Linked DNA regions of Macaca mulatta. The protein of the gene in region 2 purifies or fractionates together with the protein of the main gene of each other region. This does not show direct contact. Links are inferred from orthologs where the notes say so. Each region holds a gene or a part of one and is shown on either strand. Other genes may lie near its edges.

Region 1 (4,188 bases), on a different chromosome or scaffold from region 2:
TTTTTCTCTTCAAATACCAGATATTGTATGCAGTGATATTTTGGACACATTATAGTAATTCTTGAGGATGTTTTAATGCTGGAGGTAAGTTTACAGGCCTCGATTCTTCATCAAGGAGTACTAGATCTTCTATTTCACTGCCTCTGTATTTCCTTTTACATATTTTTACCACCACCTTTTTCTTGAGAAATAACTTCAATGCTTCTCTTGATGCAACTGCTTTTGCATTTTCTTTGCTTTTTCCACAGCCAGTGCCCAAATACACAGACTTGCACCTCAATTCACAAACAATACTTTCTTGAGAGCTCTTATTTTGAGGCAGATCTGCTAATTCTTTTAGTGGGACAAAAAATACATCCAGTGTTGCTTTCAGAGCCTCAATAGCTGCATTTAGAAGCTCTCCATGATTCACATTGGGACTAAAGCCACCAACAGCTACCAACTTCCATGCCACCGTTTTATACAGTCTATTGAAAAAAGGCTGCTTCTGTTTCACATCTTCATTGGTTAACTTGCAAGAGAATTTGACAGCACTCTCACTTGACTGTGAAGTACTTTTAGAAGGCAGCTGTGAGGTGCTAGTCTGAGAACTACTCTTAGAAGCCAACTGGGACACACTTGCTAAGGAAGTGCTTTTGGAAACCAGTGAGCCACTGGTCTGGGAGCTGCTCTTGGAAGCTAGAAGTGACGCAGCCACCTGGGAAGTGCTTTTGGAAGTTAGCAGCGATGTATTTGTTGAAGAGCTGCTCTTGGGGGTCAGTAAGGATGTGCCTGATGAGGAACTGTTTTTAGCAACTGATGATGAAACACTTGCCTCTGAACTAGTTTTGGAAGTTAACCCACTTGAAACTGTCTCTGAACTAGGTTTGGAAGACAACAGTGGCAATTCTACTTCTGAGCTTCCTGAGGAGCCCAACAAGGGCACCTCGATCTCTGAGCTGCTTTGAGAAGCTGAGGCTGAAGAGCTTTCCAAAGCACTCTTTTTAGGTGATCCACCTTGTTGTCTAGAATCAGTGGATTGGGTCATGTGACTATTCACACTGGATTTCAGCAAGGAAACAAATGATGCAGAACCGTGTTTATCTGGAGCTTCTGCTTCAGAAGCTTTCCCAGATCCTGCCGTTGTTACCTGAGAGGAAACGCTGCTGCTGCTTTGGCTGGAGACAGATCGATCTCCATCACTTGTAGAGCTATTCTGACTGGAGATGCCAGCGCTCCAAGCTGAGTTCCCACTCTCTGATTTGATGGCCGCCCCTGTACCCGCTGAACTGTTTTCCTGCTGAGCTGATGCACGTTCTGTCTTGGCAGAAGTTTTTGCATGATCTTGCTCAACTGCAGAACTGTTTTTCCCTTCTATAACTCGTTTTTTGGATGGCTCTTCTACCCCTTCTAAAAAGAAGAAAAACATAGATACATGACTAAGAATACCTCGTATAAAACGGGTGAGACAAATACACATTAAAATAAAGGCACAAAGTGAAAATATTTCAAGACTAATCGTTTCTTTAAAAAGTGTGGAGTCATTAATTTCTTAAAACAGTGTTGAATAACATCATGAATGTCTAATATTTAAAAAAAAAACAGCATCAGACAACAGTGGACACTTCAAAATCTAAAGCAGTCAAAGCAAACTATCAAATTCAAAGCCTAAAGACACAGATACATAGTTTAGGTTTAACATTCCAACTTTATTACTTATTGATAACATAAAAATTCTGGCTTGTTAAAAAAATTAATAATGATAATTCCTAATTATATCAAACTTATGCTCTAAACTCCTATGTATGTTCACATCTATGATCTGCTAACCATTGCTACTCGATATCCCTCTTTTCTTCACCTTGGCAACCAGTTCGTCTCTTGTTGTATAGGTTGGAGCATCTGTCACTTTGATGCCTTCAGCCATACTAAGTATTTTATCCATAACTTTTTGAGGGTATCTGAAAAAGAAGAAAAAGCCATTTTAAAAAAAGTGTTTTTTCTAAGGTCCTATTTGTGCTTTGCAAAAAACAGGCCACAGGAACTGCATTTCCTGGCTGCAATCAAGAAAGTGTACCAACCGCCAAGAACTGTTTCCTGGACCTCCATAAACAAGTGCCCCAGGGTCTACGAGGCAGGGCACCTCCTCACTAACCTTAAATCTAGCACCCGTCCCCAAGAGCGTTGCCCCTAACACCAGCAACCCTACCAGCAGCTCCCCCCACACCACGGGGCACACAGACGTCCGGGAATCGTGTCGGCTCCTCGCAGCGACACCCTTCTCACCCTTAGAGGGCAGCCGGGCCGGCAGATTCCCGCGCTTCACAACTTCCCCTCCCCGCCGAGGCCGGTCCCGCGGAGGGCGCCGAGCGCCGGTCTGCAGGTGGCAGACAAAACGGGGCGTGCTGGTTAGGGACGCTGCCTCACTCACCGGCACCCGAGGAAGACGTGGTTCGCCCAGGCCATGGAAAAGGAGATGAGCTGCTGCAGCTGCCGGTTTCGGGTCCCGCTCTCGGTGTCGGCAGCTTCATCCGTGCTAGCGGAGGCAGCGCCGCCAGCGGGGGCCAGGTCCCCGGCGTTGCGGAGCAAAAAATCCCGGCGGTGGCGCCAGTGTTTGTCAGTCTCGCCGTCGCAGCGCAGCGCCTCCACCCAGGCGGCCACCCGCGGGTTCTGGCTCAGGTACTCTGACACCTCCTGCGCCATGTTGGGCCTGCAGGCCGCGGAGGCCGCGAGCACAGCTGCACCGGGAGACTGGCACGGAGCGCCGGGAGAGCAGCCCTGTCACTGCGGCCTGCACCGGCGGCCCTCCAGATAACGCCCCTCCAGAGGCCCAAAGACCAAACAACAGCTCCCGGAGCAGCCGAACCGCCCACTTCCGCCCGCCGCCGGCTTCTTCCCTTTTATAACCTCGCCGCCGCCGCGCGCCCTCGCGTTCTTCCGACGCGAGCCGGCGCTCCCAGGACGCTTTGCGGCGCCGGGGCCGCCGCGACGCTGCGTCCAGGTCAGGGCACGGAGGGGACCCCGAGGGTGGGGCGAGCGGGCGTCGGGCGTCTCACTCCCTGTGAGGGCGGATTTCAAGTCGGGCTGCCCCGGGACGACCGAGTCGCGGCGGAACCCCAGGCGTTCTGGCCTCGCTTTGTGACGCCACGCACTGCTGTCGCCCTCCTCCTGCGCCGGGTCAGCTGCGGCGCCGGGAGCAGAGGCGAGAGGGGCAGGGCCCGGCAAGGGAGGCAGCCAGGCGCGGCGGGCAAAGTCCTCCAGGGCGGCGTCCCGGGGGACCTTGAGCCGCCAGCAGCCGCGGGGCCTATGGTCCCGGCTCTGAGACGCGTGTGTGTGTGAGCGGGGCCAAAACAAACAAAAGCCGGCCTCCAAGTTTATAGAATGTCGGGAAGTGCGTCTCGCGCTGCTTTCAGTGTGCCCGAGCGAAGCGTTCCGAGGCCGTCGGGGTCTCGGCGCCGTCAAGAGGATGAGGGTGCCGGTCTCCTTACATAGCAAGGTCACACGAGGACCCGGCTCCGGGTTGCTGTGAGGCTTGCTGCCTTCGAAGCTAGTCCTGGCCCCGCAGCGATTGCGCTTGTTCCCGCAGTTTCTTAGGTCTCTAGTTAATCCAGGCATTGCCTTCCTGTTTTGGTCAATAGCACACCACCACCCCGACAACGTTCTGTCTCTAGAATTTCCTAAAATCAGCAACTTTACCACCAACCGGCAGATGTCCGGAGGTGGAGTGGAAATGTGCCTATTTATTTATGGGGCCCCAAACCTCTCCCTGTTAGAGCTATATTTTCCTTCTATATATTTTTTTCCACTTTACGTTTCCCACAGTTAAGTACTCTAACTGCTAGCTTGCTTATTACGTTTTCCATTCCAGGTATCCATGCACTTTTAAGATTAATACGTTAAATGATATAAATTATGAATTTTTTCTTTCACTAAATGTAGACTGATGTAAAAATGCATGAATCAGAATAATCAAGCAAAAAAGGTCGCTTTAGGTAAGGTCAGATAAGGTTAACTGTGTAATTTATGCGCATGCTGGAACAAAATACAGCTATTGTATGAAAACAATATTGTCCATTTTCCTGCCATACCAAAAGAAACTGCATAAAAACGGAGGCACAAAGAAATTTTGAAGCTTATGATTTTGCTTCTAGTTTGCTATTCCTTCCTCCTTTTCACAGATAATTGCTGAAAATCTAGAGGGGGTGGACG
Region 2 (3,561 bases):
TGCAACATACATCTTTGGAAAGCAACATAAACAGTGAGATCAGATCAGTAGAAATATACACAGTTAAAAGAAATACACAAAGTACTGTAGTTTTATTAAAAACTACTACTTGAGAAAGAAATCTTTCCACAAATAGCATAAAACTGTAGAATGATGAAAGGATTTGGGAAAGCTTTACAAAAGCTTAATTCCAATTGTATCTTCCTGAGGGTGGTGGCAAAGGGTATTTCCTTCCTTCTCTGGGATATCCCTGAAAATAAACAAAAGAAAAGAGTTTATTTTCTGGACTGATACTCCTGCAAGTCAGTTAATTTTACACTTCTATGGAAAAATACATCATAAAGAAACTGAGTATGTGTTAAAGGTACAGCACATGGAAAGGTCCCATAAACAGGTGCTTTGATCCAGAGCTTTAACACAAACTTGTTGCAAAGTTGGAGGCTAGCACAAATGCTATTACTGAAAAATAAAAAAAAATAAAAAAAACCTTAACAATCACAAATGCACACAAATGCACTAGAGTTAAGTGTTTTGTGTAAACAACATGTACAGACAGTGGTTCTCAATTTTCCCACCGTCCTAGCAGTAGTAATTCAAGTCACTTTGTTGTAAGATACCCACATCAATTTAGACTTATTACACAAGGAAAGTAACTTTGCTTTAAACAAGGCAAGAGCTTGCTAAGTCAGTTAAGGCCAAATTGATTTTAGGGATTTTTTTATTTAGCAACAAAAAGTAGGACATTAAATGATATATTAAGGTTATTACACAATCCATTAGCAATGACCTTTATAACAAACATATCCTAGAATGCTTGCAAATAACATTTCTGTATAACAAAAGATAAACCTGACACCTCTTCACTGTAAGTCCTTTTCTAGGCCTCTAGGGTTTTGAAATGGAACCCCCTCCCACCTCATTTTGCCACCCAGAGAGCACTTCAGTACTTTAAATATGAACATGTGCAGACTCAAAGCCAGAATGTAGGCTAAGGCCTTGTTTGGTCATATAAAACTTCACTAAACATACAATGAAGTAATGATTTTATGTTTTTAACAACAGACTTCTGCAATTTAATAGTGCTTCAAACATTGTGGTTTAATAAAAAGTATCTCCGTGGAAAAGAGACTGAGAAAGAAGAAATGTTATTTTAAAAAAGTCCTAAAAGAATAATAAATTTACCAATTAGTTTATATCTTTTAAGTAAATAAGAATTTTATCTCCTACAATAGCAGAGAGTTCCTTTAAAAGGAAGATCTCCAAAGGAGGAAGGAAAATGGATGAACTGGGGTCAGCAGTCTAGGCAGCCAGCCCCCAGCTCTCCCGCCCAACTGTGTGGGGTTTTTAGGGTTTCAGTTTCTGACTTGGAAAATGAGGTGACTAGACTATACATTCTCCAAGTTTCTTTCAGTTACAAATATGTCCTCACTTCAAAAATGCTCATCACTGAAACTGCCTAGTGCCATCTAACCACAGTAACATAAAGAGCCTTAATTCACTGATGTGATTTTGAGGGGTCCTGGTTTGAAATAATTCAAAGCAAAATTCTATAAACTGATTTAAATAAACTGTAAAAAAATCCTCTCAGAAGACATTAACTATTTGCAGTTAAGGTGATTATCTTCTTGTAAGGTGGAGATACTTGTAAGAATACATCAAAAAAGTATACAAAATATGTTCCTTAGCTGTGAGAAGAGAGGTCTTACTAATTAATATGTGAAGCACTGCAGAAGGCCTGGAGGCAACACCAGGTAAGCAATTTAAAAACCACTTCACATCACTGCAGGTGCCAAACTCCATAAACACTACACTCTGAATCATAGCATTCCAATCTTGTTCTCTAGTAAGGATTCCATTAAGAGCATGTAAATACTGGCCAGGCTGTCAAATTGCTGGAGGAAATTATGTCAAACAGACCTCAGTCTTAAATGCTGCTAAAATTGGATGCTGTAAAGAGAAAGAACTGAAGCTTACATATACTAAATTTGTCTAGGAATTATGACATTCAGTGATACAGCTGCTTACATTGAGAAGAAAAATATGTGGAAGATTATCAAGCAGAGATTTATGAGGAGGGATATCAGATGAATCAAGACAGGAGACTTCTAAAATGACATTTTAAAATGACTTCTAAAAGACAACAGCTGAAAAAGTAGACTTACTTTCCAGCTTCCAGAAAATCACCCATTATGAGGGATCTAGGTTCTACTAAAGAACAATATCCTTAAAGAAAAAACAATGTTTTGGTGACTGACTACATTTGGACTAATTATCACTGACTGCTATGATTTAAAGGGCTTTTGGGTTAGAAATTCTTTGGCATCTTCAAGGTATATAACCTATTTAGTGAGGCAGGTACTCAACCCATATACATTTTTAATGACAGACCAAAGTTCAGCCAAGATACTCTATCAGTGTCTTCTCCAGAAATGTTGGTAAGAAAATATGGAGTCCTGTGAGCCTTGCTGAAATATAAAGTGAGCAGTATGCTTTTCATCCCACAACCCATTTACCTGTCTCCCTCCACGATCATCTCGTCTGGGTGGATACCCACCAGGCCCAGCTAGCATCTGGTACTGGTTTGGCTGGAAGGCTGCATTCTGGGTTTGCAGCATCCGGTTCCATGGGAGCAGAGGTTCAGCCCCAACGCCTCTGTAGAAAAGTACCAGGTTTACATCAGAAGCCATGCCTACTATACAGCACAAAGCCTAAAAGTGGCAGGTATCATCTCCAAATTTTAGTACAATCCAATTTACCTGGATTTATCATATGGGATACAGAGTATCAGAATGGCCTTTGTGTCCCTTATATCCAGTATAATCTAACATGTTTCATGAAGCATGAGCATTTATTACAATGGATGTTTAAACTCAACTGAGAAGTTCTGACTTTTAAAAATTATTTTGTTCATTTTCAATTGGGAAATTTCCTTTTTAGTCACTTAAAGATGTAGACCCAAGATCACCAAGTTGGCTACATTTAAGATGCTATCCAAATAGTAAACATGTACACGACAGGAGAATGAGGCTTTATTTTCAAAAATGTCCAGACTCGTTCTTGGATCCATTCTTTCTACTTAATTGCAGGTTGCAAATGAATTCTTACTGCTGAGTATTTTGAATCCAGGGTAGGAGACTTGGCTGTTTTTTCCCATCCATTATTCTGTTCAATATGTCAGAAGGTCTGATTGGGAGGAAACCTTTTCAAGTTCTATTGATGCAGCTTTCAATTGACCACGGTGACCTAGCAACATGAGCACTAATTGGCATGGGCTGACTGGCATTTGGTGTACAGTTTACATGGGAACACAGATTCAACGGCTATTATAACCCAGTTTGCTGTCCCAGATTACTAGTCGAAAGAAATGTTTTAATTGTCTTCAAGTGCCTATTTTAACTTTGCAGATGCAAAGCAAAAGGTATAATGTACTAAATCATAACTTAATTAAAAACTGTCACATAAACAATGTAGCAAGGATATATACCTTCTAAAGGCAATCACCATTTAAGACTTTCCCCTTAAGGCACTTTCCATAACTTCCATTTTATGGAAGGCACTATA
Region 3 (4,096 bases), on a different chromosome or scaffold from region 2:
CCAGTAGCTTTTTACTCTATTGCTTCAGTCGATTTTATAAGTATTTTCTGAGTACCTTCTCTGGGGTATAAGTATACTAGGTTTGGGAGTACTAAAGACTAAATAAAACTTTAGACACCATCTCTTCCCTCAAGGTCACAACTGCTTTAAAAGAGGTCTGGATAAAGTGCCAAAGGAATTTTGGAAGATAAGCGAGCAATTAATTCTGCTGCCTGAGCAGATAAATGTGAAACAAGTACATATTGGGGGTGATTCTGTAAAGTATTAATAGCTGGGATGCCCAGCTCCATACTCTGAGGTTCTTTCTGCCACACTCTCTATAGGCCCAGCTCCAGCATCCAGATTCAAGACTCTAGGCAAGACTCACTGTAAAAAATCCATCGCCTGAGATCAGACCCCACAGGATAGAGAACAGCTATGGTATCGACATTGCTCCAGCCACATTCCTATCAGCAAATCAGAGAAGCCAAACTAGTCAGGTCAGCACTCACGGCCAGGGTAAGGATGAGTTAGTTACTCTATTACCAACAAGATTTTTTAACAAGTAGGAAACAAGTATTCTAGCCAACATTTTTTTAAACATCAAGCAAAAATCTCAAAACAATGTTCCTAATCACCCAGAAGAAGTTAAGCTTATGTGTTACCTCATCAACAACGCATAATTTATCACAATGTGTTGTCAACTACTTATGAAAAGGTTATACCAATTATGGGGAAATAATAATGAAAAGGTATAGGTCTTTGGGGTAGTAAACAAGAGCACTCAAAAACAATACTCTAATATAGTGTCATCAAAGCAGGGACTGTTAACTCTACACCATTTCATCACATACACTTGGAAATCCTATTTACCTTTTTCATTAACTCACTTCTGGTAGTAAATTGTGGCAGGTCTTCCACTTCAATCCCATCGGCCATTTCCATCACCTTGTCTAAAAGGTCTTTATTGTAACTGCACAATAAAAAGTAATAAGGTAAAAACCTCGGAAGAATTGTCATTGTGAATTAATAAGAAACTGCAGGTTGCTCAACCATAAAATCAACTCTCAGAGAACTGATCTGATACTGCAGGGCAAACCTATACATGTTCAGCACAAGGTTTTGAGATGGAGTCTTGCTGTATCCCCCAGGCTGGAGTGCAGTGGTGTGATCTTGGCTCACTGCCACCTCCACCTCCCAGGTTCAAGCAATTCTCCTGCCTCAGCCTCCTGAGTAGCTGGGATTACAGGCATGTGCCACCATGCCCGGCTAATTTTAGTATTTTTAGTAGAGACAGGGTTTCACCATGTTGGCCAGGCTGGTCTCGAACTCCTGACCTCAAGTGATCTTCCTGCCTCGGTCTCCCAAAGTGCTGGGATTACTGGCTTGAGACACTGCGCCTGGTCCTGTGAACACTTCTTGCTTGTAGATACAGAAGTGGACTTTATAAATACCAGTAGAGCAAATGTTTCAAGATTTAGAAGAACAGAGGCACTGTACATCTAACAACAGATATTCTCAGATACGGGATGAGGGCCAAAATATTTTTGTTTATTTTTTAAATACATGGAATGTCAGTCTAACAAAAACATTATTTATTTGCCCAATTCTCTGACATTCGCCTAACCATGGAAAACCAGGATTTCCCAGGAGCACCTAGAAGGCAGGGAAAAGGGACGGGTGCCTCTGGCATTGGTTCCCTACGTACTGTTCTAATAAACCCCAATATGTGAAGCAAAACCAAGTGGCTTAGGCCTGGAGGGGCCAAATGACCAGAGTCAGGCAACCATAATAGGTATAGAAACCAAGATCAAACCAAGTCACCCTATTTTCCTAACACAATTTCAGGAAAATGGAGGCTCTCTAACAGGGAGTCTCAAGATTTGCCACCTTCCTCATGGAGGGGTGAAGGGAATGCCTTATCAGGCACTTCAAAAGCGAGTCTTTGTCCTTTTGGTGCAGCAGCCAGGATGAAGTGGGCTTTGGGACCTTGACAAAAAGGCATCGGTCATTTTCATAAGAGGGAAAACAAAGAGGTAAAGCTGGTTCCTACTTAGGACCCAGTGGGCTGTGGAGTGAGGACAAAAAGGCACAGGATACAGATTACATCCTGTCATTAGTGGTTAAAATCCATCAAACCTGCCAGAAGCTGCATGGTCCTAGTTACATCACTTCCCTCCCTAAGCTTTTTCATCTGTAAAATGGGGATCTCCGTTTCTGTCTCTGCACTTTGCCATGTAGGTGACAGAGGCTAACGGACTTCGAATGCACACTGCAAAGGTGATGGTTTGAGCTAATAATGGTAGTAATACATATAACAATAGCAACTTTTGAACCCGCCATGTATTTAGCTCTTCACCCTTTAATTATTACAGTCATCATAACCACCCTTTTACCAGAAGAGAAAACTGAGGCTCAAAGATAAGGATCGTTCCAAGGGGCCTTCAGGGTGGGAATCAGTCTTCGGGCCGGGCAATGCGGATGGAGGTTGGGAGCGGGTTCAGTCTGGGGCAGAGGTTCGGGTCAGGGGTGAGCCCTGGAAGAGGGCTTGAGGGTCGGAAGAGAGGGGACAGGATCAGCCGGCCGGCAGGGGTCCGCACCTGCAGCCTAGGAAGAGATGGTTGGCCCAGACCATGGAGAGGGACAGCAGCTGGTCCAGGCGGCCACCGCCGTCGGGCGGGTCGCGGTAGTCGGGCAGGTGGCGCAAGATGAATTCCATGCGGGCCTTCCATTGCTTCTCGCTCTCTGAGTAGGAGCGGAACTGCTCCGCGAAGTCGGCCGCCTGCCGCACCCCCGAGACCAGCTCCTCCACTGCAGCTGCCGCCTCGCCACCGACCATGGTGCCCGCTGCAGCCGAAGACCGGATAGCCCGCCGCCTTCCCGTCGCGCACTGCGCCACCACCTGCCAGCCAGAGGGGCCCCGTCAGCGCACGACTGCTCCAGAAGACCAGCCTGGAGCGCCCTCGCCCGGAGCGGCGGCCTGCGGGGGCACAGAGCGGCTCCTGGCTCCTCAGACCGCCGCAGCCCGCGGCGCATGCCCTGGGTCTACCCAGGGCTGCAAGGGCCCTTCGCGGTCGACCCTGCTGGGAACCGGTGGGAAAACTGAGGTCCCTAAGCACAGAGTCGGAGCGCCCTCTTCCAGTTGGCAGCTGGATGCCAGTCAGAGCTATGCTGTATCTTTCTTGCCCTGGGAGTTTCCCAGGCACCGCCTCATCCTAAGGGATATCAGGGGGCCCGGGTCAGGGATAGATAGGTCCACTTCCAGGGGTCTCCACAGCCACGCAGGTTGGGGCCCGCCTTCCTGGAGCGAGTAATCCATCCATCCGGTGAATACTTGCCAGGCACATTGCTAGGTGCTGGAGAGGCAATGAGAGCACACTCGGAGCCCTGCTCGCCTGAACTTTACCATCGAGTGGAGGAGCAGACATTAGTGAACTAATTGCTCAAGTAAGTGGAGAATTTCAGCGTTGACAAGTACTAGTAAAGAGAAGTCCAGCGTGCTACAACCATGAATAAGCAAGGAAGGGACCCAATCTAGTCTTGGGGTCAGGGAAGTGATCCTGGAGAACTGAAGAATGAGCAATTTTCTGAGAAAAGGGGAGTCGGTCAGAGCAAGAAAGAGCATGGCCTGGTAAGAGAATTGCAAGATACGGGGTAGGAGGGGCTGGGGGGCAGGGCAGGTAGAGAATGGAGAAGATGAGGTTGCAGAGGTCAGCAAGGCCAGTAGGCCAGGCAGGGATCCTGGCTAGATCCCAAGAATGGGGAGCCACTGAAGGATTTTAACCAGAACAGTGACACCTGGGTTTACAAAAGATGCTGGAAGGAGTCAGAAAGAATGTGTCCAGAGGAAATGAGCAAGTTTGGATTTGGTTTTAAATAGAGACAGGGTTTCGCCATGTTGCCCAGGCTGAGTCTCGAACTCCTGAGCTCAAGTGATCTGTCTCAGCCTCCCAAAATGCTGGGATTACACGTGTGAGCCATCGCGACTGGCTAGTCCTGAAAGTTTCTATTTAGCTGGCATGACTCGGCTGTCTGTTCTAGGCTCAGGTAGCAGACACACTGAGAGACAAAAGAGCTTCCTTTAAAGTGGTGAATTCCCCATCCCTGGAAGCATTCA

What was found.
Region 1: the proteins of XRN2 (region 2) and CDKN2AIP purify together in Homo sapiens (affinity purification with mass spectrometry; 4 studies listed by BioGRID and IntAct, with this or other methods). This does not show direct contact. The link is inferred for Macaca mulatta from reciprocal best matches to the Homo sapiens genes XRN2 and CDKN2AIP.
Region 3: the proteins of XRN2 (region 2) and CDKN2AIPNL purify together in Homo sapiens (co-immunoprecipitation; 6 studies listed by BioGRID and IntAct, with this or other methods). This does not show direct contact. The link is inferred for Macaca mulatta from reciprocal best matches to the Homo sapiens genes XRN2 and CDKN2AIPNL.

Annotation. Positions count from the first base shown.
Region 1 is NC_133410.1:191,890,362-191,894,549, reverse strand, and holds the start of CDKN2AIP (CDKN2A-interacting protein), read right to left. Parts: upstream 2,846-4,188; 5' UTR 2,683-2,845; coding exon 2,411-2,682; intron 1,941-2,410; coding exon 1,810-1,940; intron 1,390-1,809; coding exon 50-1,389; 3' UTR 1-49. UniProt on the Homo sapiens protein: Regulates DNA damage response in a dose-dependent manner through a number of signaling pathways involved in cell proliferation, apoptosis and senescence.
Region 2 is NC_133415.1:62,665,335-62,668,895, forward strand, and holds part of XRN2 (5'-3' exoribonuclease 2), read right to left. Parts: intron 2,653-3,561; coding exon 2,514-2,652; intron 251-2,513; coding exon 185-250; 3' UTR 1-184. UniProt on the Homo sapiens protein: Possesses 5'->3' exoribonuclease activity. May promote the termination of transcription by RNA polymerase II.
Region 3 is NC_133411.1:143,328,317-143,332,412, forward strand, and holds the start of CDKN2AIPNL (CDKN2AIP N-terminal-like protein), read right to left. Parts: upstream 2,846-4,096; 5' UTR 2,819-2,845; coding exon 2,580-2,818; intron 953-2,579; coding exon 853-952; intron 447-852; coding exon 368-446; intron 1-367.